4 linked regions of the Lonchura striata genome follow. The protein of the gene in region 2 interacts with the protein of the main gene of each other region in a pairwise test. Links are inferred from orthologs where the notes say so. Each region holds a gene or a part of one and is shown on either strand. Other genes may lie near its edges.

Region 1 (7,364 bases), on a different chromosome or scaffold from region 2:
AAACAAATAGGGAAAGTGCCCAAGAGTAGAATAAGCAGAGGGAATTGGAGTCTTCAAATCATAAAGATGCTTGTTTAAAGCCCCACAACCTCTCATTCACAAAATAAAGAGGAAAAAAAGCTGTAGTTTCAGGAGAAGAAAAATAATATAAAATCAAATAATAGAAGTGCCAATAATCAAAGCTTAATTTAGGAGCAAAATACTTTACACCAGGATACAAGACCCAGCAAGTCTGAAAATGCTCTCTGCATTTTGTCAGTGAACTATACTGCCATTCAACGCCAGATGGTTAAGGCAACACAAAATTACTTAGAAATAAAGAAACTAAGGAGATTCCAAAGTTGTTACAACTACTAGCATCCATTAACAAAATCCTGGATCAGCAACTAGCAAGGAAGCCTCCAGACTTCTTGCCCTGTGAAAAGAATGGTGCTTTAAAGTACCTCATGAAACAGGACATAAAAAACACCACCATACAAAAGAACAGAAATACCACAGCACTCCAATTTCTAACTTTTCATTAGATGCCTAAGGTTTTAAAGGCTTCATTGCAGTTTTCCTAAAGAGCACAATGTAAGACTCTGTGCACTGTCTCACACTTATATACGGACCCTAAAAAGCACACGAAGTTTCTTGGATGAAACACACTGGTACTGCTATTGCAACTAACAAAAACTAAACATACACAAAACAAACTTGCAATATATTGCAAGTTTCCTCCTCCAATTTTCAGAAGGGATAAAACTTCAATGTCTAACCTTAAAAAAACAAACTATACTCAGCATTTTAAAGGAAAATTGTCAAAACCAAAAGAGGAATAGATGTAGAACACGCTTCATAACAAAGCAAATAAATGCTTACATTTTTTAAGGGAGTGAAAAACATACACACAAACTACAGCATTCTTTATTAACAGATTACATTAATAGATAACATTTAGATTAAAATAATGCAAAAACAGCCTAACACACTTGAAGGGAGGGGGAAACAATTTGTGTTTTGTTTCATTTTTGCTTAGATCCCACCAAGCAACCATGAGGTTTTTTTTAAGTCTGCCCTTCTTTCAAGTATTTTTATTTACCATAAAAGTCAATTTCCCACTGAAAATAAAGTAACCCTTCTTTTATGGGTGATAAATGACACCCCTCTTAACTTAATTCCAGGGCCAAAAAGAACAATACTCTAAGCAATTCACAATTTTAGGTAATCAAGTTATTCTTGTAAGATTGATAAACAGAGGAATGAGATTTACAGTGCTGCATAACCTTACATTATTCTTCTACTTAAGCATCTGTTTAGCTCTTGTTGCACAGTGCTCCAGAAATGAATGACACAACGTCTAACAGTGTTTTGCTTATCTATTAAAAATAAACAGCAGGCTCCTTATTCACAGACCTTTAAGATACATAGCCACAACAGGTTATCACATACATGGAATTTTACATACTTCAAGCAATCTCAAAGACAAAATACGCATGTATTTTAGCAGAACTTGCCTGGGGAAGGATTTGCCTAAGTAATGAAAGCTGCTATTTGCTAAAACATACCTTGGTTCCGATATGCAGACAACTAGAGAGCAGGTCACGTGAACATCTGTCTATAAAATCTAGTTCAGAAATTGTTGGTGAGTTTGTTTGTTTTTTTTTTTAAATGCAGTCACTTTCACGTATTTTGCTACAGGGGCGATGTGTCCTAGGAGGCAGCAATCGCTGTGCTCCCAGCTGCCCCTCTCCCAGGCACAGGCACAGAGAGGCAGCAGCACCATTGTCAGCCGCATTGTGCTGGGAAGTCGGGGGCGGGGAGGAAGACCACCAGCGCACACAGCGCTGGCTTCTTTTCACGGCTCCTACTGCACCAAGGCTACTCCCCAAAGCAGACACGGTATGCACTAAGCTGAGCCTTGTCTCTGGGGACTTTTAATTTCCTGGCTGGCACCAGTACTATTCTTGACTTCACAGCACTACAAGAAACACATGTAGGTACTGACATTATCACGATAGCTACACTTTGGGAAAAATCAAAGATAGAAAACAGTGCCCTATGACGACAATATAAAAAAAATAAAGCAAAACGGAACACAAATTGAAACCGGAACGCCGTTTTAACTTTCCACTAGCAGGACATATAGCCTAAAGCAATAGTTGTAGGCAAAGCACTGTATACATGCCAGGCCGAGCAACCCAGGAACTTGCGGTACAAGCAACTATTCAACTCCCCGGCTCAGAAAACAGAAATGATGTGGGCATAACGAGAATATTATTTGGAGCGAAGGCAGGACAGAGCCTTCATAAAGGACGGGGTGTTTAATACAAGCAAGCAACGCTCAGCTGAGAAACGAGGGGGAGAAAAACAGGCTTTCACATTCCTCGGGCGAACGGAGTACCTGGCAAGCCTAGCCTAACCCTCACAAAGCCCGCTCCGGGGGAAAACCATCCTACCACACACCCGGGAAACGAAAAACGAAAGGAAACAACAGTTGTGCAACACAGCTTATCCCTCGCCGCATTCCCGGGTTTCCAGGGCCGGGGCTGTCCCGGCGGCGATTCGCTTCGTCCGGACACCGCCCCGGCCCCCGTGTATCCCTGCCTGGAGCCCGACCGCGCTCCTCGCGAAACACCCCGAGGAAAGAAGAGAAAAGGATTAAAATGCACGCGGAGAGGGGCCCGAATCGGCCGAGGTCGGAGATCGGCATCCATCCATACACACACACACACTCCTCTCGGAGAACGTTCCCCCCGGCGCCCTCCGGGCGACCGCGACTCTGCCCGCCCCGGGCAGGGCTGCCCCGCGGCGGCGGAGAGTGCGGGCGGGGGGCGGCAGCTCCTCCCGAGCCCCCGGGGCCGCCGCGCCGTTCCCCCGCGGCCGGGACAGCTGCCCGTACCTGGTCAGACATGATTCGGCCCCGTGTCGTGCGGCAGGCTCGGCTGGGCCGCTGCAAGCGCTCCGCTCCTTTCTCTGCCCGCAGCGCAAACACAGGGCCGCGGCACGGGCGGGATTTCCGGTGCGCCTGAGCTCATTTCCCTCCCGGGCCCCGCCTGCGGCCCCGCCCGGCCCTCGCGCGGCACCGGCTCCCGCCGAGGCCGCGGGGGAGGCGAGAGTCGCCGTCGAAAGAAGCGACCAACGTTAAGGGCAGCCCTGGCGACCGGAGCCAGGGTTGCCACAGCTACGGTGACGGGCCTGGAGCATCTCTCTTCATGAGGAGAGACTGCGGAAGCTGGGCCTGTTCAGTCTGGAGGAGATTGTGAGGGGATCTCACGAATGCACAGAAATACCTCCAAGGCGGGTGCCAAGGGGATGGTCCCAGACGCTTCTCAGTGGTGCTCAATGACAGAACGAACAGTAATGGCCATAAACTAAAAGATAATGAGTTCCACCTCACCTTGAGAAAGCGCTTTCTCAGGTTGAGGGTGGCAGAGCACTGGAACAGGCTGCCCAGGGAAGTCATGGAGTCTGCCTCTCTGGAGATATTCAAACCCCTCCTGGTCATGTTCCCGTGTCACCTGCTGCAGGTGACCCTGCGTGGCAGGGCTTGGACTCGATGCTCTCCAGAGATCCCTTCCAATCCTGACAATTATGTGAAGTCACATAACCCTTCCCACAATAGTAGATCTTGGAGCAAAAATCACTTTCATACTGCCTACCTCTAATATCTTGCTGAGGTTGTTATTAAGACAATATGCCATAGCAAAACTCACTTTTGTTTAGAGACAGTGTTTTTTTTGCAACCATGCAAGCAATGGGATCTGCATGTATTAAGCAAATCTGCAGCCAGGCTTGCATTTGAATAAATTTGCAAAGATGTATCATTAGAACAGGTGCCCTGCTTTACATTGGCACAGCATCGCTATTCAGAAGTCTGCACAAGAAATAACATCTACCTAAAAGATTACATTTAGGCTGCAAGCTGTTTGGACTATAGCATGGAGTCCTAACATCCCCTCTACAACTGCTCAGGCAACTCCTGCATGGCATCACTACTGGCATATGCTTAGATCTAAGTGACCACCAGCAAGTAGAAAAAAAACTCCACACATGAGAACCATGAAATAGCATGAATGTAAAATTAATGAATCAACAGAAACTAGCTCAATTGAAAAAATGAGATTATTACCCTTATGCTACTAAACAGAGTTTCAACTTTACCATCTACCTTTGGGAAAGTGCAGAGTACATTCATTAGCTCTGAGCAAGAGGCATTCATTAACATAAACAGGCCAATGCTCTGTGTGCCATATTCCCTTGTAATAACACCAAACACCAAAGCAGCTGATCTCTGTGCCTGCATTTCTGCTTATCAGTGAATGCCAAGCTACAAACAGAGCTACACCAAGAGGTGCACTTTTGCCAGCCAGCAGAACAATCAGTATCTAGACTCATGGGAATTAGTTCTAATCACAACTGTTAAAACAAGTCAGAATTAACAAGGGAGGGAAAAATAAATAAAGAGAACCAAAACAAATGCTATACAGAGCTAGAGAATGAAGATGATCTTTCTTAGACAAGGCCAAGCAGAAAAGCCAAATATGTTCATGCTATGCCAAGCTCACAGTAAGAGCTCATTATGAGCTTAATAATACACACAAAGCACCAAAATAAGCCATGCAAGGGCTCCACAACAACGCACAATACTAGCAAAATGGAAAATGACAAATATTCTATCCTGAACATTACTGCTTTTTATAAATTTTAAATGGGTTTTTAAAAACAGAGCCTTACTGTGCTAAGGCCAAAGTCTCAGACTCTGGCACAAACCCAATTTTTTCAAGTAATCCCATAATAAAAGCTAACACTCATATGAGTTAGAGTGCAGTTATCTATCCACATGCATAGCCATAAAGATACAGGGTTAGAATGTGCTTATCAGCACACACACTAACAGTAGCACCACCTTTCACCACCCTTCTTATTCCATCAATTGTGGATGCACCAGCTCTCCAAGACACAAGCTAGTTTTATACAGGATCTTCAAAGTTAATCTCCACTAAGACTGTGAAAACTGTGGATGCACAGCAGTAAAGCTCTCACTTTTCTTTTTCAATGGCTCAAATTCAACATAGAATTCACTTAAAGAGAAAGTAACAAAAGCTGTTTAAAAAATACCAAATATACTTACACAAGCTTCTTCCCACAAAACCCAAAGCCAGCCTTGCATTTGCACGCACTGCCCATAGTACTTGCCCTAACAACCTCACTGAATTCTCAGGTGTTTTATAATGTCTCTTATTTTCCTACCTGCACTTAACCTCAGTCACCTGATGCCAATAAAGTTCACCTCTGTTGACTGATTTCTCCAAAGCTACTGTATAGGAGCCAATAGCTGCAAGAGGTTTTCTCAAAGCTATTGGCCCACACATACATAGAGTCTGTGCAAAGCTTCAGTCCATCAGAAACAGATTTCTTTAAAAAGGAGACTTTAACCTATAAACAATTTGTAATCTCATAATACCAATTTGCTTGCCTGATAGCAGTTAGTGCTAGCCAACAGGATGAATGTAGTATTCTAGGGCAACCAGCTAAGTTAACAGTAGCTCTTACATAATAAGAGTACTCTGCCAGCAGGGCCAGAAATAGTACTTTAAAACTAGGTAGAACCTGGAAATTCTCTACCTCCTTGAACCTAATTTCTTTGGCAATATTACTGGTTGTGGGATTTTAAGAAAATTGGTTATGTGATGTAAAGTACCAAAGTCTTTCCTTTGAATAAAAAAATCTTCAGAAATATTAAAGTCCACAGATTTCTCTCACTGTGGACTTTCCAGCGTACTCCTGGAAACAAAGGCATGCTGACTCATACAGATGGTTGCATAAAACGCAGCAATGACTGTCTGATATAAATCAAAAGCGTTTCTTGGAGCCTCTCTACCTGCGGGCAGGAAAATCTCTGCCTGTTTTCAGTACAGCTAACCCTGCGTATGAAATAAGCGGGGATTTCTAAGGGCAAGGAGCGGCGCTTTCCGCCCGCCTCCCACCGGCACGCAGCTGCTCGGCTCCCCAGCAGGGCCGCGGCACAGAAGGTCAGCCAGGCGCCGCGCTGTGCACGCCCGGGCTGTGCCAAGGACAAAGCACGAGGTGGCACCAGAGTAGGAGGAGGCTCAAGTGGCCGCCCCAGCGCCCCGGGCCGTGCCTTCCCGCAGACGGAGCTGCCCGTGCCCCGGGGAGAGCCGAGCAGCGCGGGGAAACACGCAGCGTTCGAAACGCGTTTTATACGAGCAATTTGGTGCTTGTCTGTTGGCGAAGCCAAGCTTTTAAATACTCGCAATCGCACTGTGTCAACAATTCTTTACGCAAAGGAAATGCTTTCGGTGCGATGAGCTGCAGGTCAGGCCACGGGAGCGAGAGCGGAGTGGGCAGAGAACGCAACCCGCCACGTGCAGAGGGCCGGGAGCGCCGCTGAACCCCGACACCGCGGCCGGTGCGGCTCGGGGTCGCCGAGAGGACCACCCGCTGACCCCTGCTTCGGGGTCCGTTCGGGAAACAAAGTCTCTAGCACGGCCCCTCGCGTCCCGGGGAACACACCCGCTTCCTATCAACGGTGGCCGACCCTGCCGCCAACTGCGGCACCCGGGGAAGCGAGGACAGCTCGGGTGAGGTGCCAGAAGGGCACACCGGCGGCGCCCCAGCTCCCGCGTGTTTGTGCGTCAGGAGACTCGAACCCGCGGCGGGGGCGGCCCCGCCACGTGGCTGGCGGGCGGAAGGCGACCCGCCGCTTCCGCTCCCCGCGCGCTCTCGCTTCCGCTGCCGCCGCCGCTTCCCGTTCCGGTTCCGCCGCGCGGCGCGCGCGTGCTTGAGCGCGGTCGGTGGCGGCGGCGCACGCGGCGCCCGCCGCAGCCATGCTGGTGCTGTTCGAGACCGCCGCCGGCTACGCCATCTTCAAGGTGAGCCGCGGGGCCGCGCTGCCGCTCGCACGGAGGGTCGCGGCCGCCGACCTGCGGCGGAGCAGAAGGGAGGGCGAAGGGGAGCGCGTCGGGCCTGCGGAGGGAATAACGGGGAAACACGGTGGGGGGTGAGGGTGAGGGAGAGGGAGGGAGTGGGGGTGAGGGAGGGAGTGAGGGAGGGAGTGAGGGCTCCCGCATCCCGTGCGGCCCCTCGCGGGGCGAGCAGGGCCGAGGGTGGGAGCAGAGGCCCCGGGGCAGGGGCAAGCTGCTCGGCGGGCAGAAGGGGAGTTACTCGGTGCCTGCCAAGAGGCATCTCTGGCGCTCCCTTCCTCCCCTGTGCCGGGCGGGATTTGGTAGGAAGTGATGCTCTCTGTGCGCTTTCTGTTCCGCGTGGCGGGCGGTGCCGTCTCCCGGCCGTGCGGGGCCCTGCGCTGGGCCTGCCGGCTTCTCGTGTCCCGACCTCGCTCTCCCAGAGGGACGAGCACACAC
Region 2 (7,563 bases):
GAGAAATGGAGAATTTGGGGGGTTTGTCCCCGAATTTTGAGGGTTTATTCCCAAATTTGGAGAGAAATGGAAATTTTGAGGGGTTTGTCCCCAGATTTGGGGAGAAATGGAGAATTTGGGGGGTTTGTCCCTGAATTTGGGGAGAAATGGAGAATTTGGGGGGTTTTTCCCCGAATTTGGGGAGAAATGGAGAATTTGGGGGGTTTGTCCCCGAATTTGGGGAGAAATGGAGAATTTGGGGGGTTTGTCCCTGAATTTTGGGGGTTTGTCCCCAAATTTGGAGAGAAATGGAGATTTTGGGGGGTTTGTCCCCGAATTTGGGGAGAAATGGAGAATTTGGGGGTTTTTCCCTGAATTTAAGAGAGAAACTCTGAATCCGAAGGGTTTCTCCCCAATTTTAGGGGTTTGTCCCTGAATTTGGGGAGAAACTGAGAATTTGGGGGGTTTGTTCCTGAATTTGGGGGATTTGTCCCCAAAAGTGGGAAATTTGTCCCTGAATTTGGGGAGAAATGGAGAATTCGGAGAGTTTTCCCCTGAATTTGGGGAAAATGGGGAACTTGAGGGGTTTGACCCCAAATTTCGGGATTTTGCCCCTGAATTTAGGCAGAAACAGAAAATGTAGGGGTTTTGTCCCCAAATTTGGGGGATTTGTCCCCAAATTTGGTTTGTTTCTCCCTGAATTTGTGGGTTTTCCCCCAAATTTGGGGATTTTGCCCCTGAATTTAGGCAGAAACAGAAAATGTAGGGGTTTTGTCCCCAAATTTGGGGGGTTTCTCCCTGAATTTGTAGGTTTTCCCCCAAATTTGGGGATTTTGCCCCCGAATTTTGGGGTTTTTGGCAAAATTCGGGTTTAACTCCCCGAATTCCCCTCCGCCCTCCCAAAGCCCCAGATTTGGGGCCAAAAGGGGAAATTTGGGACTTTGGAGCTTTAATTAAGGCAGGAGGGGGGAAGGGGGAGGGAAATTTGAGGGGGAATGGGGGAATTTGGGGGCTGGCCCCAAAATCTGGGGGAAATCCCCTGAAAATCGAGATTTTGGGGGAGAAAATGGAGGAAATGAGATGGGAGCTCCTGGAGCCAGGAGAGAACGCGGGAATTTGGGATTTAGCCCCAAAAACACTCCTGGACCTGATCAAAAACCTCCAAAATGTACCTGGAACTGATCAAAAACTCCTAAAAACCTCCAAAACCACCAGGAACTGATCAAAACCCCCTAAAAACCCCAAAAGCCACCTGGAAATGATCAGAAACCCCTAAAAACCCCCAAAACCACCAGGAACTGATCAAAAACCCCTAAAAACCACCTGAAACCAACCAAAAACCCCTAAAAACCCCCAAAAATCCTGGAAATGATCAGAAACTCAAAAATAAACCCAAAAACCATCTGGAACCACCCAAAACCCACCTGGAACCACCCCAGAAATTTCCAAAAACCACTAAAAATCACCAAAAACCCTGAAAAATCCCCAAACACCGCCCGGGACTTCGCAGGTGGGGAAGAGGCAAAAACTGAACCTGAAAAGGTCCCAAAATTGGGGGGAAAAGGGAAAAACGGAACCTGAGCTCCCAAAATTGGGGGGAAAAGGGAAAAACGGAACCTGAGCTCCCAAAATTGGGGGGAAAAGGGAAAAACGGAACCTGAGCTCCCAAAATTGGGGGGAAAAGGGAAAAACGGAACCTGAGCTCCCGAAATTGGGGGGAAAAGGGAAAAATGGAACCTGAGCTCCTGAAATTGGGGGGAAAAGGGAAAAACGGAACCTGAGCTCCCAAAATTGGGGGGAAAAGGGAAAAACGGAACCTGAGCTCCCAAAATTGGGGTGGAAAGGGAAAAACGGAACCTGAGCTCCCGAAATTGGGGGGAAAAGGGAAAAACGGAACCTGAGCTCCTGAAATTGGGGGGAAAAGGGAAAAACGGAACCTGAGCTCCCGAAATTGGGGGGAAAAGGGAAAAACGGAACCTGAGCTCCCGAAATTGGGGGGAAAAGGGAAAAATGGAACCTGAGCTCCTGAAATTGGGGGGAAAAGGGAAAAACGGAACCTGAGCTCCCAAAATTGGGGGGAAAAGGGAAATCTGGGAATTCCTGCCCCCCGCCGTTAATTAAACCTTGGAGGGGATTAATTAAAGCTTCTGGGGGGGTTTAATTAAAGGATTTGGGGGGGTTTAATTAAAACTTCTGGGGGGTTTAATGAAAGCTCCCAAAGCCAGGCTTGGCCACGCCCACCTCGGAATTGGCCCCGCCCCCAAATGTAGCCCCGCCCCTCGCTGCTTTATTAACCCTTAATTAGCATTAATTAGCCCCTTAACGATTAGCCACGCCCCCTGGGTTAATTATGCAAACGAAGGCCTCCAAGGGGAGTGAATTAGGCCCAGCCTGGCGCGCAAGGGGTTAATTAATTAATTAATTAATTAAGCCGAGGGTGTTAATCAGGGCTAAGCCACGCCCCCACCCCCGCGGGGTCAGCCCCGCCCCCGCAGGGGCTGATTAATTTATTAATTACCTCGGGGAGCCGAACCCCGCCCCCGCAGGGCTTAATTAAACACGGAGCGCCCTAATTAATTAATTAATTACCTCGGGGAGCCAACCCCGCCCCCGCAGGGGTTAATTAAACCCGGAGCGCGCTCGTTAATTAACTGGGGAGCCAAACCCCGCCCCCGGCGGGGTCAATCCCGGCCCTGAAGGGGTTAATTACCCCCCCAGCCGAGTCATTAGTTAATTACGCTGAGCAATTAGTTCAGGAGGGCGCGGCCCCGCCCCCAGGCCCCGCCCCCCCGGCCCTGAGCCCCCCCCCCCCCCCCATTTCCCGCCTCGCTCCCTCACGCGCCGCCGCCATTTGCACCCCCCAAACCTCCCCCGCGCCCCCGGGCGGGTCCTCCCGCCCGCGGAGCCTCCCGCAGCCCCCCGGGACCCTCCCGGAGCCGCCCCCGCTGCCCCCTCACCGCTCCGGGCACCGCTGCGCTGCCGCCGCCGCCGCCGCCGCTTCCTCCGGGGGCCGAGCGCAAAATGGCGCCCGCGCCGCCCTCAGCGCCGCCAGCGCCGCCGGGCCCGCCCACGCCGCCCGTTGCCGCGCGGCGATTGGCTGAGACGGCTGTCAATCCAGCGCCGAGCCAATGGCAGCGCGCGGAGCGGCGCTGCGCGGGAAGGGGGAGGAGAGACGGCGGGGGGCTCGGGGGGTGGTTTCGATCGCGCTGATTGGCCGAGCGCGCTGCCAGTTATTCCGCTATACCAATCGGAGTCCGGCGCACAGCGGAGGGCCCGCCCCCCGAGGCGCGCGGGGAGGTGGGCGCATGCGCAGCCGGCCGCCGTTGGATCAGCGGGAGGGCGGGGCGAAGGGCTCGGTGCGGGCTCTGATTGGGCGAAGCGAGACGTGGGAGGTTGGTGATTGGACAGCGGCGCTGTCAGTCAGGCGGAGGGGGCGCGGCCCAGTTCGCGCTGGTTTTGGGGCCTTTTAAACTGGTTTGGGGTGATTTAAACTGGTTTAGGGAAATTAAAACTAGTTTGGGGTGATTTTAACCGGTTTGGGGTCATTTAAACCGGTCTGGGCCCATTTTAAACTGGTTTTTCCCAATCCCGACACCTTTCTCCCCATTTTTCTCAAGTTTTCCAATTTTGTCCTCATTTTTTCCATCTTCCCCCCATTCTTTCCCACTTCTGCCCAATTTTCCCCAGATTTTCTCAATTTCCCCCATTTTTCACATTTCCCCTCCATTTTTTTCCCAGTTTTCCCCAATTTCCCCAATTTTTCCCAATTTCCCCCTATTTTTTCCCAATTTTGCCCAATTCCCCCATTTCCCCCCCCACTTTCCCCCTTTTCCCCCATTTTTCCAATTTTCCCCAATTCCTTTCCGAATTTCCTCCCTCATTTCCCCCAATTTCCCCCCAGTTTTCCCAATTTTCCCCTATTTTTCCCAATTCTCCCACTTTCCCACCATTTTCCCACCATTTTTTCCCAATTTCCCCCATTTTGCCCCATTTTCCCCCCTTTTCTCCCCATTTTTCGCATTTTTTCCCCGTTTTTCCCAATTCCCCCCATTTTGCCAAATTCCCCTCGATTTTTTCCAATTTTTCTCAATTTCCCCCCAATTTTCCCCAGTTTTTTTCTTATTTTCCCCATTTTCCCAATTCCCCCCGGTTTTGCCCCATTTTTCCCCTTTTTCTCCCATTTTCCCAATTTCTTCCCATTTCTCCTCAATTCCCTCCATTTTGCCCAATTCCCCGCGATATTTTACATTTTTTCCAATTCCCCCATTTTTCCCAATTTCCCCCTTTTTCTCCTTTTCCCACTTTTTTCCCCATTTTTCCCAATTTACTCCCCATTTTTTCCCAATTCCCATTTTTGCCCAATTTTCCCCTTTTTTTTTCTCATTTCCCCCCATTTTTCTCATTTTCCCCACCATTTTTCCCAATTTCCCCCATTTTTGCCCCATTTTTCCCCCTTTTGCCCCATTTTCCCAATTTTTTTTCCATTTTTCCCCAATTTCCCCCATTTTTCCCCAATTTTTTTTCCAATTCCCCCCATTTTTCTCAATTTTTCCACCATTTTTCCCAATTTCCCCCGTTTTTGCCCCATTTTTCCCCATTTCCCCCGTTTTCGCCCCATTTTTCCCAATTTCCCCCGTTTTCGCCCCGTTTCCGCCCTGGCGCGCAGGAATTCCCGTTTTGGTTAGAAAACCTTAAAAAAACGAAATTTTTATTGAATTTTTGGAAAAGAGCCGCGGGGGGGGGAGGGGGCCCGAACCCGGGGGGGAAAAACCCCAAAAAGGGGGAAAATCCCCCCAAAATGGGGGGACCCCCATAAATACAGAAACCGGGGGAAAAAACACGGATTTTGGGAAAATCGGGGAAATCCGGGGGTTTTCGGCACCGATTTCCGGTGGGAAAATCTCGGGGAATCTCCCCAAAAACCCCGCGGGGAGAAAAAAAAAAAAAAACAAAATCCCCGAATTTTCACCCAAACAACAAAACTAAAAAAAATTCCAAAAAAAACCCCCAAAAACGGGCGGGGCCCCAAAATCCGCGGGAATCGCCCCAAAATTCCAGAGGGGGGGGGAAAATGGGAAAAAAAACAACAAAAAGGGGAAAAAAGGTGAAAAAAAACGGGGAAAAACGGGGAAAAAAGGGGCGGGACGGGGGCGAAAAGGCCCGGGCGGTTTTGGGGTGAAAAGCGGCGATTTTGGGTCCCGTCACTTCCGCTTCTTCTTGGGGGGGTGGGGCCGGCCCCGGCCGGGGGGGCCCTTGCGCTTCCGGCCCCGCCCCCGCTCCTCCTCCTCCTCGTATTGGCTCTCGCGGTCGGCTGGGCGCCGTTTGGGGCGAAAAACGGCGATTTTGGGCAAAACGGGGATTTGGGAAAAAGGGGGGTTGGGGGGGAAAGGGGGATTGGGGGGGGAAATGGGGATTTTGGGTAAATGGGGAATTGGGGGTGAAAAATGGGGGTTTTGAGAAAAAGGGGGATTGGGGGGGAAATAGGGGTTTGGGGTGAAAAATGGGGATTTTGGGCAAAACGGGGATTTGGGGAAAAAGGGGGATTGGGGGTAAAGGGGGATTGGGGGGGAAAATGGGGATTTTGGGTAAATGGGGAATTGGGGGTGAAAAATGGGGGTTTTGGGAAAAAGGGGGTTTGGGGGGGAAGTGGGGATTGGGGTGAAAAACGGCGATTTTGGGCAAAACGGCGATTTGGGGAAAAAGGGGGATTGGGGGGGAAAATGGGGATTTTGGGTAAAGGGGGAATTGGGGGTGAAAAATGGGGATTTTGGGTAAATGGGGAATTGGGGTGAAAAATGGGGATTTTGGGAAAAAGGGGGATTGGGGAAAATGGGGAATTAGGGTGGAAAATGGGCGTTTTGGGAAAAAGGGGGTTGGGGGGGAAAATGGGGGTTTGGGGTGAAAAATGGGGATTTTGGGCAAAAGGGGATTTTGGGGGGTAAAGGGGGTTTGGGGGGGAAAATGGGGATTTTGGGTAAATGCGGAATTGGGGGTGAAAAATGGCGGTTTTGGGAAAAAGGGGGATTGGGGGGAAATGGGGGTTTGGGGTGAAAAACGGGGATTTTGGTCAAAGGGGAATTGGGGGAGAAAACAGGGATTTTGGGAAAAAGGGGTTGAGGGGATTTGGGATTTTGGGGTGAATTCCGGGGGTTTTGGGGTGATTTAAGGGGTTTTTGGGGTGAATTCCGGGGGTTTTGGGGTGAATTTGGGGATTTTGGATTTTGGGATGAATTCCGGGGATTTTGGATTTTGGGGTGATTTAAGGGGTTTTTGGGGTGAATTCTGGGGGTTTCGGGGTTGAATTCGGGGATTTTGGGTTTTGGGGTGATTTAAGGGGTTTTTGGGGTGAATTCTGGGGGTTTCGGGGTTGAATTCGGGGATTTTGGGTTTTGGGGTGAATTCCGGGGGTTTTGGGGTGATTTAAGGGGTTTTTGGGGTGAATTCCGGGGGTTTTGGGGTTGAATTTGGGGATTTTGGGTTTTGGGGTGAATTCCGGGGGTTTTGGGGCCGCACCTTTCCGCGCCTCCTCCTCCAGCTCGTCCCAGTCCTTGCCGCTCTCCTCCTCGCTGCCCAGGGAGTCCTTGGAGTACTCTGGGCAAATCGGGGCGAAAAACGGAGAAATCGGGAAAAACGGGAAAAAACGAGAAAATTGGGAAAAAAACCCCAGGAAAAAAGGGGAAAAATGGGGTAAAAAATGGGGAAATTGGGAAAAACAGGAGAAAAAGGGGAAAATTGGGAAAAAAACACAGGAAAGTCGGGAAAAAAAGGGGAAAAATGGGGTAAAAAATGGGGAAATTGGGTAAAAAAACAGGAAAATTGGGAAAAAAACCCAGGAAAAAAGGGGAAAAATGGGGTAAAAAATGGGGAAATTGGGGAAAAAAACATGAAAATTGGGAAAAAAACCCCAGGAAAATAGGGAAAAAAGGGGGAAGATGGGGAAATTGGGAAAAAAGGGGCAAACAACAGGAAAATCGAGAAAAAAGGGGGGAAATGGGACAAAAATGGGAAAATTGGGGAAAAAGGGGAAAAATGGGCAAAAACAGGGAAATCGAGAAAAAAGGGGCAAAAAACGGGAAAATTGGGGGGAAAAAAACCAGGAAAATTGGGGAAAAAAGGGGCAAAAAATGGAGAAATAGGGAAAACTGGGAAAAAAAGGGGTAAAAAATGAGAAAATTGGGAAAAACGCCCAGGAAAATCGGGAAAAAAGGGGAAAAATGGGGCAAAAAATGGAGAAATCTGGGAAAAAAAGGGGCAAAAAAAGGGAAATTCGGGAATAAAGGGGAAAAATGAGGCAAAAAATGGAGAAATTGGGAAAAAAAGGGGCAAGAAAAAGGGACATTCGGGAAAAAAGGGGAAAAATGAGGGAAAAACGCAGGAAATCGGGAAAATTGGGGAAAACATTTTTTTTCCCCCGCCAGGTGTGCTCAGGTGAGCCCAAACCCCCCAAAAAATCCCCACTTTCAACCCAAATTTCCCCATTTTTAACCCAAATTTCCCCATTTCTAACCTGAATTTCCCCGTTTTTTCCCCGTTTTTCCCCCCAGGTGTGTCCAGGTGTGCCCAGGTGTGCCCAGGTGCGCCCAG
Region 3 (7,819 bases), on a different chromosome or scaffold from region 2:
AAACCCCAACCAGCATCACTGAGCCAGCTTCCAGAAACCACAGAGGAGCTGCAGCACAGCCCCCGCAGCTCAGCTGTGAGCAAGGAGCATCCCTGGGTACACAAACCTCCCTGCACCAACACTTCATGCTGCCAAAGCACACAGACACAGCCCAGCTGCTGAAAGGGCACTTCTGCTCCCCCATCCACCTCCATCAGGACACAGAACACACTTTGATGGGGCTGTGGGTGGATTTTCTGTTCTCAAATTGAGTTTGAGAATTCCTGTGGCAGATCCTTCTGCCTCAGGCAAGAAACAAGGCTTTCTCCCTGCACTGAGCACAGCCTAACAGAGTTTCCCATGGTACCTCTGCCCCACATCTGCACAGCTTCTTCCATTCACCATTTCACAGCTTCCCTGAGGCACAAAAGGCTGTTTATACGGAAAAGCAATTCCCGGAAATCATTTGTTGTACTTTGTTTTCAAAAAAGCTGCCACTTAGCAGCTGAAAATAACAGAAATCCGCACTCAGTACTTTGCCAAGAGCTCCCCAGGCAATCTGAAGTTCTCTCTGTTTCAGCTGACATTATTCATCACTCATGATGGAATCTTTCACTCAGGGCCTCCACCTCCAAAGCTGCATAGGCTTTGACTGACTTAGGCTTTCTCCCTAAATATTTTTCTCTTATATTCTTCTCTTCTGTTATAAATATGTCTTCTTCTGTAGAAGACATACCCTGATGTCAGCCTTATTTTCTGTCAGAGTAGTGTTTTCCATACAAGTAATTATTCCTGAACATCCCAGAATACATTTCATACTAAATATAACAGCTAGTACTGACGACATTGATTTTCATTCTTAAATTAACACCACTCCTCTCTGCACCAAGCTTTAATCAGGCCACACCACGGTTGGATTTCCATTTAAATACCAAAGCAAGGAATGATTTCAGCTGAAAAGAGGCAAAGCACTGATGACCACAGACAACTCTCCACAGACAACTCTCCTGCACACAGCTATCACTCAGGAACAGGAGACAAAAGGAAGCCAAGGATCAGCCCAACTCCTGTTTTGCATTTTCTAGTTTGGCAGATTAAGAGCAGGACACTCCAATGCACCTGATACAGACAACCACAAAAGCCTCTTGACTCTGGAATGTGAAAAAAAAGGGTGAAAGTGGGGGAAGGGGAGAAACCTGCTGGAAGAGCATCCAAGGAGGCACCAAGGCACTGCCACCACACAGTGGTGGTGGCACAGACCACACAGTGGTCTGACAGCTCTGCACTATTTTCATGTGGCTGTCCCAGAGCCCCTGAAGGACATGCAAGCCCCTAAGGAGAACACCCCCTACAAACAGCCATCCCAAATCAGCAATGGGATCCAGGGATTTATCAGGATACTCAAAGGAGGATTTGAGATGCTTTGAAATATTTTCTCCTTCTCTTCTGGCCTTTAAATCCTTCATACACAGGTATAAAGAGGTGAAATGATTTATTTGAGATCAAGGCAAAGGCAGGAATACCCTCACATCCTGCTGTGTTCCAAAGGACCCACTCCTGTCTCCACCATATCTTTTAACATTGACCATTCCACCAAAGAAAAGAGGCCAGAAGAAATGTAGGATAGTGCTGGGCTAAAGGCAAGGGATACAAGGAGAGGCCATTCTTTACCAAAGGCTTACAAAGGACTGGAATTTTCTACCAGAGAGCCACGGGGTTAGAGGAACCTGACCACGCTCAGGTGAGAGCAGAGCATGCCCACCTTCCTTGCCGAGTCCCGGTTCTTCCAGAGCAGGATCTCCGAGTCGGAGAGCCCCAGCTCCCGGAGAGACGAGGTTTCTCTGTCACTCTCCTGCAGGGCCTGGAACTGTGGCAGGGTCAAAGCCCCCGCAGCCTCTTCTCCGAAAGGTTTGTAAAAAGCTGCAGGAGCAAAGCATCTCCGTTTTGACTTGCACCTGTGAGCCAAAGGAACACGCCAGCACAGACAGCTCAGCACTGAGGAACTGGGGACAGCAAGGGGCTGCTCAGACCACACCTGGGCCAGACCACACTTACTGCTCGATGGAGACAGTGGTGTCAAGCTGCTGGTGAAGGAGGCTCTTCAGCTGCCTCTCTCCTTCTGTCTCCAAGTCTTCCAGGAGAAGCTCATCACTGGACAGGCTGCTGTTCACCCTGGGGCACACAACCACAGCACAGGCATGGGCAGTCAGGCAATAGAGGAAACACTGCTCAAAACACATCCTTGCTACAGCTCCTCCACCTCTTGCGCTGGTTTTATGGGATTTTAAAAAAACAAGAAACCAAAACTACTTGACCACAGCTCCCTTTAACATTACTAGAAAAGTCAACAAATTTGGGATTCCTTGGAGAACATAAAAGTACCCCAAGGAGCCTCTGGGTGTTTTTATATTGGTGTGGGGGTTGTTTGTTTACTTTAAAATCACACGCCATAATTTTTATTGACCGAAATCGTCTTGCATCAGCATCTAGCCAGTGTGAAAAACACCCATTATTTGGTTTTTAAAATTTTAAGTGTTTAATAATAATAAAATGGTTATAAAAATAGTAACACAATTAGAGAAATAAAGTTTAGAGTTAGGACCATAACAAAACAATATAAAGCAAAGAATTATGGATGCTCTTGGACACTTAAGTCACAAAAAGCATACTTTGTGAACAAAGGAATAACCTTAAATGCAATAGCCTGTTGCATATTCATATATATCCTACATGATGCATAAATTCCTTGCAAATTAAGAACTTTTCTGTTTTTTGTCAACTTCTTCCCCTTAATCCCGGTGGTTCCATAAAGATGGAGAGAAGGTGGAAGACTGTCTTTTCTGATAAGGAGGCAGTAGCTCTTCATGGGCCCCAAGTCACTGTCACCTCTGTGTGAAGAGCTTTTTGATTACCTCATGTCTTGCTTGAGCTAGTAAAAAAATCCTACATCACAGATTTCTATTTCAACATTATGTTGTAACCTAAAACTATATTTAACAGAGTCCTTAAGAGAATTAATACACCATAACTTTCTAACATTATACATATAACATTAATTTGCGAAAAGCCAATCATAAAACACGCATTTTCCACAGCAGACACTGCCAGCTCCAAATGAGACAGGGAGGAAAGTGAAACCGCGACGCCGAGGAGAAACGGTGAATTCCAGCAGCGCTTTTCCCTTTCCGGGGTCCGTGCTGCGCGGAGCAGCCAGACCCCAGATCCTCCACCGCAGGCGCTCCCGCACCGCCGCAGCGGGGCCGGGCCGCCCCGCTCCTGCCCCGCTCACCGGCGCATGGCCCCGCCGCTCCGCACGCCGGGCCCCGGCAGCGCCCGCCGGGAGCCGCCCCGGGAGGAGCCGAGCCGAGCCGAGCCGAGCCGAGCCGAGCCGAGCCGAGCCGAGCGCTGCCCGCAGCGCTGCCCCGCCCGGCAGAGCCGCACGGTGTGCCCGGCGCCCCGGGGACAGCCGCTCCCCTCCGCGGCCGAACGCACGACACTTAGCGCAGAATTCGCGGCTTGAGACACGGACCGGAAGGGATCTCGCGTCGAGTGTCGTCACGGGCAAAGGGCTTAAGGCGGAGATGGGAACGGAGTTTTTTGATAACTGAAGCACAGCGGGGTAATGGGAAGTAAAATCAGCCCTTAGAAACACCTTCGCCTACCCGTCCCTCGTACCCCAGCAGCGCAGGGAGACGGGAATGGGGCTATGGTCAGTTCATACGGAGATGGGGGTTATGGTCAGTTCATAGAGACACAGGAACGGGGGTTATGGTCAGTTCAAAGGGAGACAGGAATTGGGGTTATGGTCAGTTCAAAGGGAGACAGGAATTGGGGTTATGGTCAGTTCAAAGGGAGACAGGAATCAGGGTTATGGTCAGTTCATAGGGAGATGGGAACGGGGGTCATGAGCAGTTCATAGAGACACAGGAATGGGGCTTATTATCAGTTCATAGAGAGATGGGAATGGGGGTTATGGTCAGTTTGTCACCCCTGGTTTTCCTGGTGCTCAGGGACAGCAGTATTTCCCCTGCTGCACTGTGGGGTCCTCCCCATGGGAGACAGTTCTCTGAACTTCTCTGATGTGAGAAGTCCATCCCATGGGCAACAGCCCCCTCAGACTGCTGCAGTGTGGGGCACTCTGCCACAGAGTCCTTCCAGGACAGGCTGCTCCAGCCTGGGAGCAGGGCACCTCAGCCACAGGCTCAGCCTCCTGTCAGGCATGCCCCTGCTCTGGCATGGGGCTCCTCCATGGGCTGCAGGAGCACAGCTGCTTCACCATGGTCCTCACCACAGGCTGCAGAGCAATCTCAGCCCCAGCACCTGGAACACCTTTTTCCCTCCCTCCTTCACTAACCTTGGTGTCTGCAGAGCTGTTCCCCTCACAGATTTTCACCCCTCTCTTCTCTGGCTGCAATTACAACTGAGCATCAAATTTGTATTTATTTCTTCTTAAAAAGCTGTTTCACAGAGTCATTACCACCATATCTAACTGGCCCAGCCCTGGCCAGCAACTCTGTCCATCATTTGGAGCCACCAGGGACTGGCCCTGCTGGACATGGTGGAAGCTTCTGGAGCTTCTCACATAAGCCACCTCTGCAGCCTCCTCCTGCAAAAGCACGCAGGAGTCCTCCAAGACAGCATTTCTGTTACCTCACCAGTCTGCAGGCACAGCTAAAGCACAAGGAGTACACACTTCCTGCAGACTTCATCCAGTTTCTGATAGGAGCACGTGAAATCCAGTCCAACACCACAAAGACTGGCTTTGAACAAACAGCACATTTTATTGTAAAAAAAGAAATAAAACCAGGTCATTGTTTCAGTCCTCAGCTCCCAAACACCTCTGTTTTCTGTGGAGGTTTTATGTTCATCCTTTGAACTTGGGAATGTCTCAATCAAAGGTGATCCGAAAGCTGCGCTCCTGCTCCTTGCGGCGACTCTCACAAACCTTGGTCACCTCTTCCACCTTCCTCTGTAGCACAGCTGTGGCAGAAACAAGGGATTAAATGTCACAGTCACCCCAGAACACAACCCTGCACAGTTTTGCCTGCAGAAAGAAAAATAATTCCTTGCTGACAGTCACTCAGATTTGTCAGTGGATAAAGCAGGAGGAAAACACAACCCAAAGTACTACCAATAAGACAATGTTTTCGTTATTTAATGGCAAAAGAAAAAATTTGTCTCCTTTCTAGGAAAGTTTAAAGCAAACAGATAGCTATTTTTACACACATTATGTAAATTCAGGTTGCACAGGAGCTGTACCAGATTTGCTGAAAAAGGCATGTTTAGAATGGGAAGCTTAGCAGGAGTGTTCTGAAAGAAAACACCGAATTAGACCCTGACCTAAGCCAACATGAAGAAGAGCAGGTCTGCTTTCACGCAAGTTGTTACCCCAGGTGTGAGCATTTCACAGCACTGTAACTAGGCTCTGGGGCTCTGAGAGGAGAGCTGCTTTATTCTGCCGTGCCCCCGTGTGGCTGCTACCAGTTAAAATCCAAACGGCACAAAATTCCAGAATCCCTCACCAGGAGGCACTCTTCCAGAGGGAAAACTTCCTTTTTTCTGTCTTGTTTTAGTATGACTCCACTGTCAAGTGCCTATTCCTGAGTGCATCTCTGTGTGCAATGGAACTCAAGCTTTGGAGGTTGTGAAATTCCCATACTATTCCTGCAGTTACCCCACCTGCAGATCAAGGCAGGCTGCTCCATCTTATCTGGATGTGACTTCCTGTTTTCAGACTGGGAGGGATAGTAACACTCAACACACACACATTTCCCTCACCAATTTTCCTGCACCACAGAGAAACCACACAATCTTTAGAAGCTGAACTATTTAACATTAGTTTGACAGAATGAATAAGGTTTTCAAGTTCTCTGCTTTGTACTGACGCAATTCAAGGAGGGCTTTCTGGGTAAAAATACCAGTTGTCAGGAGTAACTTCCCAGCAGAGGCCTCTCATCAGGCACAGCAGCAGAATTCAAGCAGATGTCAGAAGGGACAATGCCACTGAAGGCTGAGGAGGAAGATTCCTCAGGCATCCTCAGGAATTCAGGGATGAACACTCACACACAGCTCCTGCTTCCCACTCACACTGCCAAAAGGCTGCAGGACAAATCTCACCTGAATTCTGGTCAATCCACTGCAGGGAATCCATGTGTGCATTCAGAATTTTACAGATCTGCTGAAGCTGAGCAGAGAGAGAAGGTGCAAGTTAGTTGCGAGACGGCATAAACACCAGGAGGAGTCAAAGGCAAAGTTATGCCTTTCCCAAGAGAGCAGCCACTTAAGCCAGGGAAGTGTGTGCAGCAACACTGCTACTTGGCTATTCCATAGCAGCAAGAAAACTGAACAGTTTAGATAACATGTCTGTGACTTTGGCTTATCTTAATTTAAGACCTAGGAACCAGCAGAATATTCATAACCTTAGGCTTAAGGTGGCAAAATTCAAAATGAATGTGGGTAAACTCAGTCTAAAATACTAAAAGGAAATTTTTGCAGAAAAAAGCTTCTGGGCAAAGCCCTAAGGAGCATCAAAATCAATTTAAAAGATATCAGGAGCTGGTTATACAGATCTTGTTTTATGAGGATATAAAAATAGTATGAAGAAAAAGTATAAGTGGAATATCCACATGGGGACAAATTAAGAGTTAGAATTATTTCAATATCATTTGCCTCTTCAGCAACATAAAATAAAAGCTTGCATTTACCGGGTCACTCGAGTCTGCTGGGCCTCCTGATGTATTCAAGTGATCAATAATGTCCTTCAGATCTTGTGCCATGCGCTTCAGCTGAGCATCGATGTTTTCAGCCAGTTTGTAGCTGCAGAGCACACAGGAACCAAGATCAGAATGGTCAAAGCCAACTTGGAGGGCCTGCTCACAGTCACACCAGCTGTGGGCCATCAGCATCAGCTGCCACAGCTGCAGCCCAGGCTGGCAGAGACTGGGAGCTGCACCCAGGGAGGCTCCAGCACCCACATGAGGGGACTCCCAAGCTCTGTCTCCCTTGAGCTACACATGGAGACAGACCAGCAAGAGAGTGGAGGACTCTGAGTAAAATCTAAAGTTGCCGTGCATAAACCAGGAATAAATATCTGACGGTAGGCACTGATTGTTAATCCTGACACCCATCCCAGCTCCACTCCTGCTGAGGGCTGTGGGCACAGGCCAGTGCTCGGCCCCCATCCCCACAGGTTTGTGCCTCACGTCCTCTCCCGTTCCTCATCTGCGTGCTGCAGGTAGATGGTCCCGCTCTGCTCCTTCACAGACTCCTCCAGAGGGGACAGCAAGTCCTCCAGCTCCTTCTGCTGGGACAGAATGAAGTCCAGTTCCTGATCCAGTCTGCAAAGAGAGCCAAATGCTTCCCGTTCACGCTGCAGACTCTGCAGAGCTGTCACACAGCCAGGCAGGCCCATGCAGAGAAGAAATAAAATCATTTCAAGTGCTCCAGGTCTCCTACCTCTTCTGGTCAACCTTCACCTTCTCCACTTCTCTGTGTAAAGAAGTAATCTGCAAACAGAAGACATTCCATGGCACCTTAAAAACCAAGAAGGCAGCTCTCCAAAGAAGGGAGGTGTGAGGGAGAGAGCACAGCATGCAAGTTCTACTGCAAACAAGGGATGGCCACATAAAGATTTACAGAGCCAAGATGGAATAAGGGAGGTTCAGCTTGGAATGATCCCCCCTAAGAGAACTCGGTATCACAGAGCAAAGGCACAGAACAGATCTCCAACTCCAAGGCCTAAGGGCCAGAAGTGACACACAGAGAGGCTGTGAAAAGCACCCAGCTGGAGCTCACATCTATTTCACAAGCAGCAAGTCCCACTGAATGGCTTGCTGCACCT
Region 4 (7,020 bases), on a different chromosome or scaffold from region 2:
AAGTCACTTTACCCTGCTCCTTAATGGATCAGTATTTGCATAATTTAATATGAGTCCAGATAAGCCCTTCTTCAATTCAGACTCTGGGGTTGGAGGTTAAAACTGTGGCCACACTTCTGCAGTTTTTAAGGTTCCTCTTTGTGCTGAACCAATTTTATTTATCCCCCACAGCTCTAAAATCTTGAGGACCCTAAAAAAATGTTGCAAGCACTGACCAGAAATCTTAAATTCCCCCCAGAGATGCTGCCTCAGCTCCAAATTACTGCTCCCCCACTATTAAAAACTTTATTACGTGTATTCCTTTGAGCAGGAGCAGAAACCAGGGAGAGGACAAGGAATTCTTGGGGATTTCTGGTCCCAGTGAATCCCTGAATTCCCAGTGTCACCACCAATCTGTCATCCCCAAACACATGGCAGCAATTATTTACAACATGCCCGTGCAGGAAATGTTTACCCAAGACTTCAGCATTGAAGGAATTTTGTCAAACACCTTATGTAAAACAGGTGCTTCTGCTGGGCTTTGCTTTTTTTTTTTTTTTTTCCTCTTTTTTCCAGGCCAGAATTTGTATTTTTAGGAGCATATTGGGGAAAAGAAAACAAATAACTGGAGTAGCCAAAAAGGTGAAAAATGTTTGGTACTTTAAGGGATAAAATGTAGGAAATTCCCTGGTTTTGGTCAGAAATAGAAGAACTTCCAGTGAATATGTAAAACCTGGAAGGCAAGGGCAGTGTGACAGGAACTGTAACTGTCAATGGACTGATCTGAGCACATGGAATTAAGAGATAACATTTTTAGGAAGTTTGCAATTCACAACATGGCAACCTTTCATAACCTCTCCAGTTGGCATTCACCAAAATTCGGGCGATTTCTCATTTCTCTAGGGGTAAACTGTAATGGAAAATTAAAAAAAACCCCGATAGTTTTGTAAAAACAACCCAGGGCCAATTTCAGCGCAGATAAAAAAGGGGGAGGAGTGAAGGAGATAAAGATCAAATGTTGGTTTCCTCTGCCAAATAAATACACAAATTTCTGCCCAAACAGCCCTGCAAGCCGGATTTTGGAGGTTGGGTGGGAGTGGGCAGCAGCAATTCCCTCAGCCTGATGCCCAGTGTGATGTGTAAGCAGTTGATGAGCAGCAGGGACAGCCAGAAGCCTGAGCTATTGTATGAAAAATAGCCCTGCACCGTGGTTATTTTAGGGAGCAGGCATGTGCTCCAGGATTTGCTGGATAAATGTCACTCTCTAAAATTTAACACGACCCAGCAGTGGGTTTGGGCTGTGGAAAAAGGCGTTTCAGTGCTGCAGCAAATTAAAAAAAAAAAAAAAAAAAAAAGATTGAAGAGCTTGCCTGCCTTCTGACACACTCCCACGTGGTGTTACCTGCGTGTCCATCTTGAACCTTCCCTACTTCAGCCCTTTCCCGTTGAAATTCTGCACCAAGGCACCTGAATTCCAGCCTGTGTCTACTCATGAATCCCATTTTTCACTGTAATGGAACATTCTGTGTGCATTCCTAAAGATGCCTTCCTGTAGCTGCCTATTCAGTGGTAACAAAATTGATATAAAAATAAATTAGTATCTAAGGCGAGGGGTTGCCAACCAACCTCACAACACTGTTAGCAAGCAGAGCAATTAATTATCCCCACTCACAATATTTTTGCCAAAAGTTTGGGCATAACTGAGTAATAAAATGTTCTATCAATCTAAGTGGGCAGGTTAAAAATCCAGGTGTTACAGACTCCTGGGAAACTGACGTTTAAATCAATACAGGGAATATAAAGGAGTTTTCACTTTTGAAACATTGTAATGTCTTCATATATAAGAGTAGAATATTATGGAAAACACAAGGGACACTTTGAAACTAGCAAAAGACAGCCACGAGGAATGCCAAGATTCTTGTCCACAACCCTGAACAGACAATTTTAACCTCCAACCAGCACTCCTGGCCGAGTGTTTAAAGGCGAGGATTGATACCTAGCTTTAAAATTTGCTTATTTCCTAAGGAAACCCCAAGTTAATTACTTATCCTGCTGTGTTTAGGAAGCACCTACAGAGCTCGAATAATTGAACCACCAAAAAGTTCAGCGTTCAGGGGCTACAAGGCAGAACGGCTTGAGCAGAAAAGAGAAATACAAAAAAAAAAAAAAAGAGAATTTAAAAAATAAGAGTTTTTTTAAAAAAATAATCTTGCTATGAAAGTTACGGCGTTATTTATTTAATTAGGTATCCTGGAAACACGCAGCAGAGTAGGGCCCTAATACTGACTCAGGCTTTTAGGAGCTGCTGGGAGAAGAATTGTTCCAGCAGCGATTCCGCCGAGCCCACCCCGGAGCGGGGCCGCTGGGGCAGGGCCGGGCCGGGCCCCGAGCCCCGGCGGGCGCAGCCGCCCGGGAGGAGCCGCGGGGCCGGAGCGGGGCCGGAGCCGGGAGCGGGGCCGGAGCCAGCTCGGAGCGGGGCCGGAGCGGGGCCGGAGCGGGGCCGGAGCCGGCTCGGAGCGGGGCCGGAGCGGGGCCGGGAGCGGGGCCGGGAGCGGGGCCGGGAGCGGGGCCGGGAGCGGGGCCGGGAGCGGGGCCGGAGCCGGCTCGGAGCGGGCTCGGAGCGGGCCCGGAGCGGGCTCGGAGCCGGCCCGGAGCCGGCCGGGAGCGGGGCCGGGAGCGGGGCCGGGAGCGGGGCCGGAGCGGGCCCGGAGCCGGCCCGGGCGGGCGCGGCCGCTGCCCCTCGCCGGGAGCCCGCGGGCCCGGCCGCGCCCGGCCCTCAGCGCGGCCTCGGCGGCTCCTTCCTCCCTCCCTCCCTCCCTCCCTCCCTCGCCGCTGCCGCCTCCCCGCGGCTCAGGGCCCCGCCGCGCTCACCTCCAGGTCGCGGCCTTTGTTCTTGAAGTTCTTGAGGCGCTGGTTGTCCAGCTTCTCGCTGTCGGCCATGGCGGGGGGCGGCCAGGGAGGAGCGCGGCCCCTCCGCCTCCGCCCGGGCCCGTAGCGCGCCGGGGGCCCGGCGGGCCCGCAGTCGGCCTCAGCGAGCCGGGAAGGGCCGGGTGGCGGGGCGGGGTGGCGGGGCCGGCGGCGGGGCCGGCGCGGGGCGGGAGCGCGGCCCGGGGCCGGGCGGTTGGAGCGGGCCGGGCCGGGGCCGGTGCCGGCGGCCCGATCGCGCCGGTGCCGCCGAGCGGGGGAAGGGACGGGGCGAGCGGGGGGGGAGAAGGGGGAGCCTCGCTCTGGGCGCCGCCGCCCATTGGCTGCGCCGCGCGCGCCCCGCGGCCAATGGCGGCGGGCGGGGAGAGGGCGGGAGCGGTGACGCAGCGCGGGCAGGGGGAGGAAGGAGGAGCCGCCTCAGCGCCGCCGCCATCTTGGGCGCTGAGGGCTGAGGGCAGGGCTGGGGCGGGACGGGCGCGCCCCGCGCCTGCGCTGCTGCCGGGAGCGGACCAAAATTTATCTTTTAATCCTTTTCCCAACGGCGCTTGCATTTCGCTCCCCTCGTGGAGCCGGCTGTTTAAACATTCCGCTCGCTAGGCTTGGCGTTCACTCCCCTCATGGAGCCGAGAATTGGCGCTCTCCTCGCCACACTTTACATTCACTCCCCTCACAGAGCCCAAAGTTAATAGTTTAATCCTTCCCCTCGCTAAAGTTTGCATTTGCCCCCATCATGGAGTCAAAAATCGAGTTTAATCCTTCCCCTCACTAAAATTTGCGTCTGCCCCCATCATGGAATCAAAAATCGAGTTTAATCCTTCCCCTCGCTAAAATTTGCGTCTGCCCCCATCATGGAGTCAAAATTCGAGTTTAATCCTTCCCCTCGCTAAAATTTGCGTCTGCCCCCATCATGGAGTCAAGAAATCAAGTTTAATCCTTCCCCTCGCTAAAGTTTGCATTTGCCCCCATCATGGAGTCAAAAATCGAGTTTAATCCTTCCCCTCGCTAAAATTTGTGTCTGCCCCCATCATGGAGTCAAAAAATCAAGTTTAATCCTTCCCCTCATTACACTTTGCATTTATTTGCATCATGAAGACAAAAATTACACCTCAATCTTCACTCTCTTTACACTTTCGTTTGCCTAGAGTAATCCCCCTTCCTCCCAGTCTTCCAGAATTTTAGCAAAAAAAAAAAAAAAAAAAAAAAAAAGAAAAAAGAGAAACAGTATTAAAAACAATAGAGAGAAACACTTGCGGAGCAGAGGGGATGGTAATTTTGTTCCTACTTCTGAAATTCTACCTGGAAAATAATGCCTGTGTACCATAACTAGAAGAATTCTGTGGAGTATGTGTGTGTGTATATATATATATATATATATATATAATATATGTATGTATATATATATATATGTACTGCCCTGACCCTGCATATAGTCTCTACTTATTTTTAATGATTGAAAATGAGCCCTGTAAAGTCTTCCATGTTGACAGAGCTCATTATAATTTTCCATGACACTTGTTGAGAAAAATCAAAGTTATGACAGGGGATGTTTTTCCCAAGTGTGAAAATGAAGTCACCGAGTCCCTCGGAGACTGAGGAGTATCAGGAAAGATAATTTGATTTAGCTCCTGAGGAAAACAATGGTTTTTCAGACTATGTGTGTTTTATCCCTGGACATTTCCCAGAGGACGAGGCTTGGATCTAGATATTTCTCCAAAAAAACCCCAAAAGTCACAGAGGCTGAGTCACCGCAGCCCCGTCTGTTGCACAAATGTGGCAGCGATGTCACAGCAATATGAGGAGGGTAAATTAGTCGGGGCTAATTAATGCTGGTGCTATTCCATGGAGGCATGGCTTGTCTCAGAGGATATAAAACATTTTCTCCAAGAGTGGTGTAGGACAGCAACCCTTTCACATCCCAGTCTGGATGGACAAAAATGACATTTTCTTGATACAGCTATTTACTTTTTAAAATGTAATGCGGATTTGCCACGTGGTAATGTTGTAAAAGAATACATAGAGATAAAATTTTAAAAAATAGTATCTTTATTTAGTGCTCTGTTTCATTTACAGAAAGAAGAGAGAGCTCGGATTGTTCAGCCCAGAGACGAGAAGGCTCTAGGGAGAATTTAGAGCCCCTTCCAGAGCTTAAAGAGGATCCAGGAGAGCTGGAGAAGGACTTTGGAGAAGGGATGGGGGACAGGACACAGGGAATGGCTTTGAACTGAGAGGGCATAGGTTTAGATTAGATATTAGGCAGAAATTCTATGATGAATAATGAAACTGGACTCTGGTGTGAACTATGTGTTCCATTCCTGCCCAGTGCTCAGAACTTGTCCGAATATGATGGTAAAAAAATCCCCCCTGTGTAAGACACAGCCTGGAATTTTATGAACAAAACCCTTTTATTCCATCGGTGCCCTTTCCATCACCACCTTTTCCATGTTTTTGTTACCCCAGACGTGCCCATCCCACCCCTGGTGTGGGAAGGATGGAATGGGAAAGGCAGCACATCCTGGCTTAAATTTTCCTTTAAAAAAGCATACAATTTTCCTATTAAATTCTAGTCCTGGAGAATCTTCCTCCAAATCCAGCCCAAAAATCATCTTGCTGTACTTTGCTGCTTTTATTATATATATAGATTAGTAAAAATATGTAAAATATATTACATTTTTAAACTTATATTAGTATTTACTAATATTTATTAGTTAAAATATGTAAAAATATAAAATTTATTTACTAACACCCCATTTCCTTTCTGTGTAACTCCATATAATGATAGCCAAAACAAACTTTGCTCTTGCTAAGTTATGAAGGAAGACAATCCTCTGGTGGTCTTTTGATCTGATATCATCCAAGGAATAATTTATATTGTGATTTCATTGTAGACATCAGAGATTAATCAAGTGCATTTTGTGTAACTGTAATCTAATTAAACTGCTTGGCTTTCAGAGGAATAATTTCTGTTTGATTTTACCTCAGGATCACAGTACAAAAACACTCAGAAGACCAATTTCAAACCCTTGATCCAGTGTCACTGGGCTGTCTTTTAAAAAAACCCCAAACAATTGGATATTTTGATTCTAAATCAGTTTTTTTTACTAAATCAGGTTTTTTTTTTACAGTTTTTTTTTTACTGTAGCTGCCTACAACATAATAAATTATGCATAAAACACAAATTCTCATGGTATGGTGCTGTTCAGAACTTCATGTGATGCTACAGAACAAAGCTCTGCTTCTTTAATATTTTTTGCATATTTTTTAGCTTGGAAAATAATAATGCAAATATCAAGGTGGGAATTAGGATCTGCTCACCTTCCTATCCTTCAAGCAACAGATAGATTTGTTTTACAAAGGGTTCACATTTTCTTTACAATTCACAGTTTGTGAATTTTGAACCTCATTATGCAATTAGAAAATGTTTAATTCTCAGCTTATCTTAAACACCTCTTTTGAGGAATAATGTGAATTGATCTGAATGCTGTTCCTAATATATTAGTAAAAACATATATAAAATAGATAAAATTTATTTATTAACTGTACACTTAGGTGAAAGGAGCTCCTGCAAATGGCTTTTCATAGCCCTATCTCCCTCCTGTAAGAAACAAAATGTCATGTAAAGCTGCAAAGATTTGTGTTGCACACAGAAAAACACCCATTAATCCTGGGGTTTAGCCAAATGGAATAGCTGCTATTAACAAAGAAGCAGCCCGCTGCTGGGAGGATATTTTATAATAATCTTTCAGCTGCTGTGCTGACTTTTGCAAGAGACAGGTTGGAAGGAGGTTTTTGATGGGAGTTGGCTGACGTGCTTTGGATGAGAGGAATAATCAAAGATTTGACCCACAGACACCTGGACAGCTCTGCTGTCTTCCTTCATAACTTAGCAAGAGCAAAGCTTGTTTTGGATATTATTATATGGAGTTACACAGAAAAGAAACGGGGTGTTAGTAAATAAATTTTATATTTTTAACATATTTTTAACTAATGAATATTAGTAAATACTAATATAAGTTTAAAAATGTAATATATTTTACATATTTTTACATATTTTTACTAATCTCTATATATAATAAAAGCAGCAAAGTGCAGCAGTGTTTGCTCCCTTGTGGAGGAACA

The links.
Region 1: the proteins of heterogeneous nuclear ribonucleoprotein C (region 2) and SUMO1 interact in binary tests that used the Homo sapiens proteins (3 or more experiments, as listed by UniProt). The two-hybrid records come from large-scale screens. The link is inferred for Lonchura striata from reciprocal best matches to the Homo sapiens genes HNRNPC and SUMO1.
Region 3: the proteins of heterogeneous nuclear ribonucleoprotein C (region 2) and RBM41 interact in binary tests that used the Homo sapiens proteins (3 or more experiments, as listed by UniProt). The two-hybrid records come from large-scale screens. The link is inferred for Lonchura striata from reciprocal best matches to the Homo sapiens genes HNRNPC and RBM41.
Region 4: the proteins of heterogeneous nuclear ribonucleoprotein C (region 2) and KPNA4 interact in binary tests that used the Homo sapiens proteins (3 or more experiments, as listed by UniProt). The two-hybrid records come from large-scale screens. The link is inferred for Lonchura striata from reciprocal best matches to the Homo sapiens genes HNRNPC and KPNA4.

The regions. Positions count from the first base shown.
Region 1 is NC_134610.1:26,736,484-26,743,847, reverse strand, and holds the start of SUMO1 (small ubiquitin-related modifier 1), read right to left. Parts: upstream 3,003-7,364; 5' UTR 2,894-3,002; coding exon 2,882-2,893; intron 1-2,881. Other genes in the region: NOP58 (nucleolar protein 58), read left to right, coding at 6,831-6,875. UniProt on the Homo sapiens protein: Ubiquitin-like protein that can be covalently attached to proteins as a monomer or a lysine-linked polymer.
Region 2 is NC_134641.1:1,164,139-1,171,701, forward strand, and holds the start of heterogeneous nuclear ribonucleoprotein C, read right to left. Parts: upstream 3,012-7,563; 5' UTR 2,937-3,011; intron 1-2,936. Other genes in the region: SUPT16H (FACT complex subunit SPT16), read right to left, coding at 5,181-5,290, 6,493-6,570. UniProt on the Homo sapiens protein: Binds pre-mRNA and nucleates the assembly of 40S hnRNP particles. Interacts with poly-U tracts in the 3'-UTR or 5'-UTR of mRNA and modulates the stability and the level of translation of bound mRNA molecules. Single HNRNPC tetramers bind 230-240 nucleotides.
Region 3 is NC_134616.1:18,475,903-18,483,721, forward strand, and holds the start of RBM41 (RNA-binding protein 41), read right to left. Parts: upstream 3,011-7,819; 5' UTR 2,220-3,010; coding exon 2,035-2,219; intron 1,935-2,034; coding exon 1,742-1,934; intron 1-1,741. Other genes in the region: nuclear pore glycoprotein p62-like, read right to left, coding at 4,868-4,959, 6,097-6,163, 6,684-6,795, 7,182-7,316, 7,435-7,484. UniProt on the Homo sapiens protein: May bind RNA.
Region 4 is NC_134612.1:25,421,987-25,429,006, reverse strand, and holds the start of KPNA4 (importin subunit alpha-3), read right to left. Parts: upstream 3,008-7,020; 5' UTR 2,920-3,007; coding exon 2,851-2,919; intron 1-2,850. UniProt on the Homo sapiens protein: Functions in nuclear protein import as an adapter protein for nuclear receptor KPNB1. Binds specifically and directly to substrates containing either a simple or bipartite NLS motif.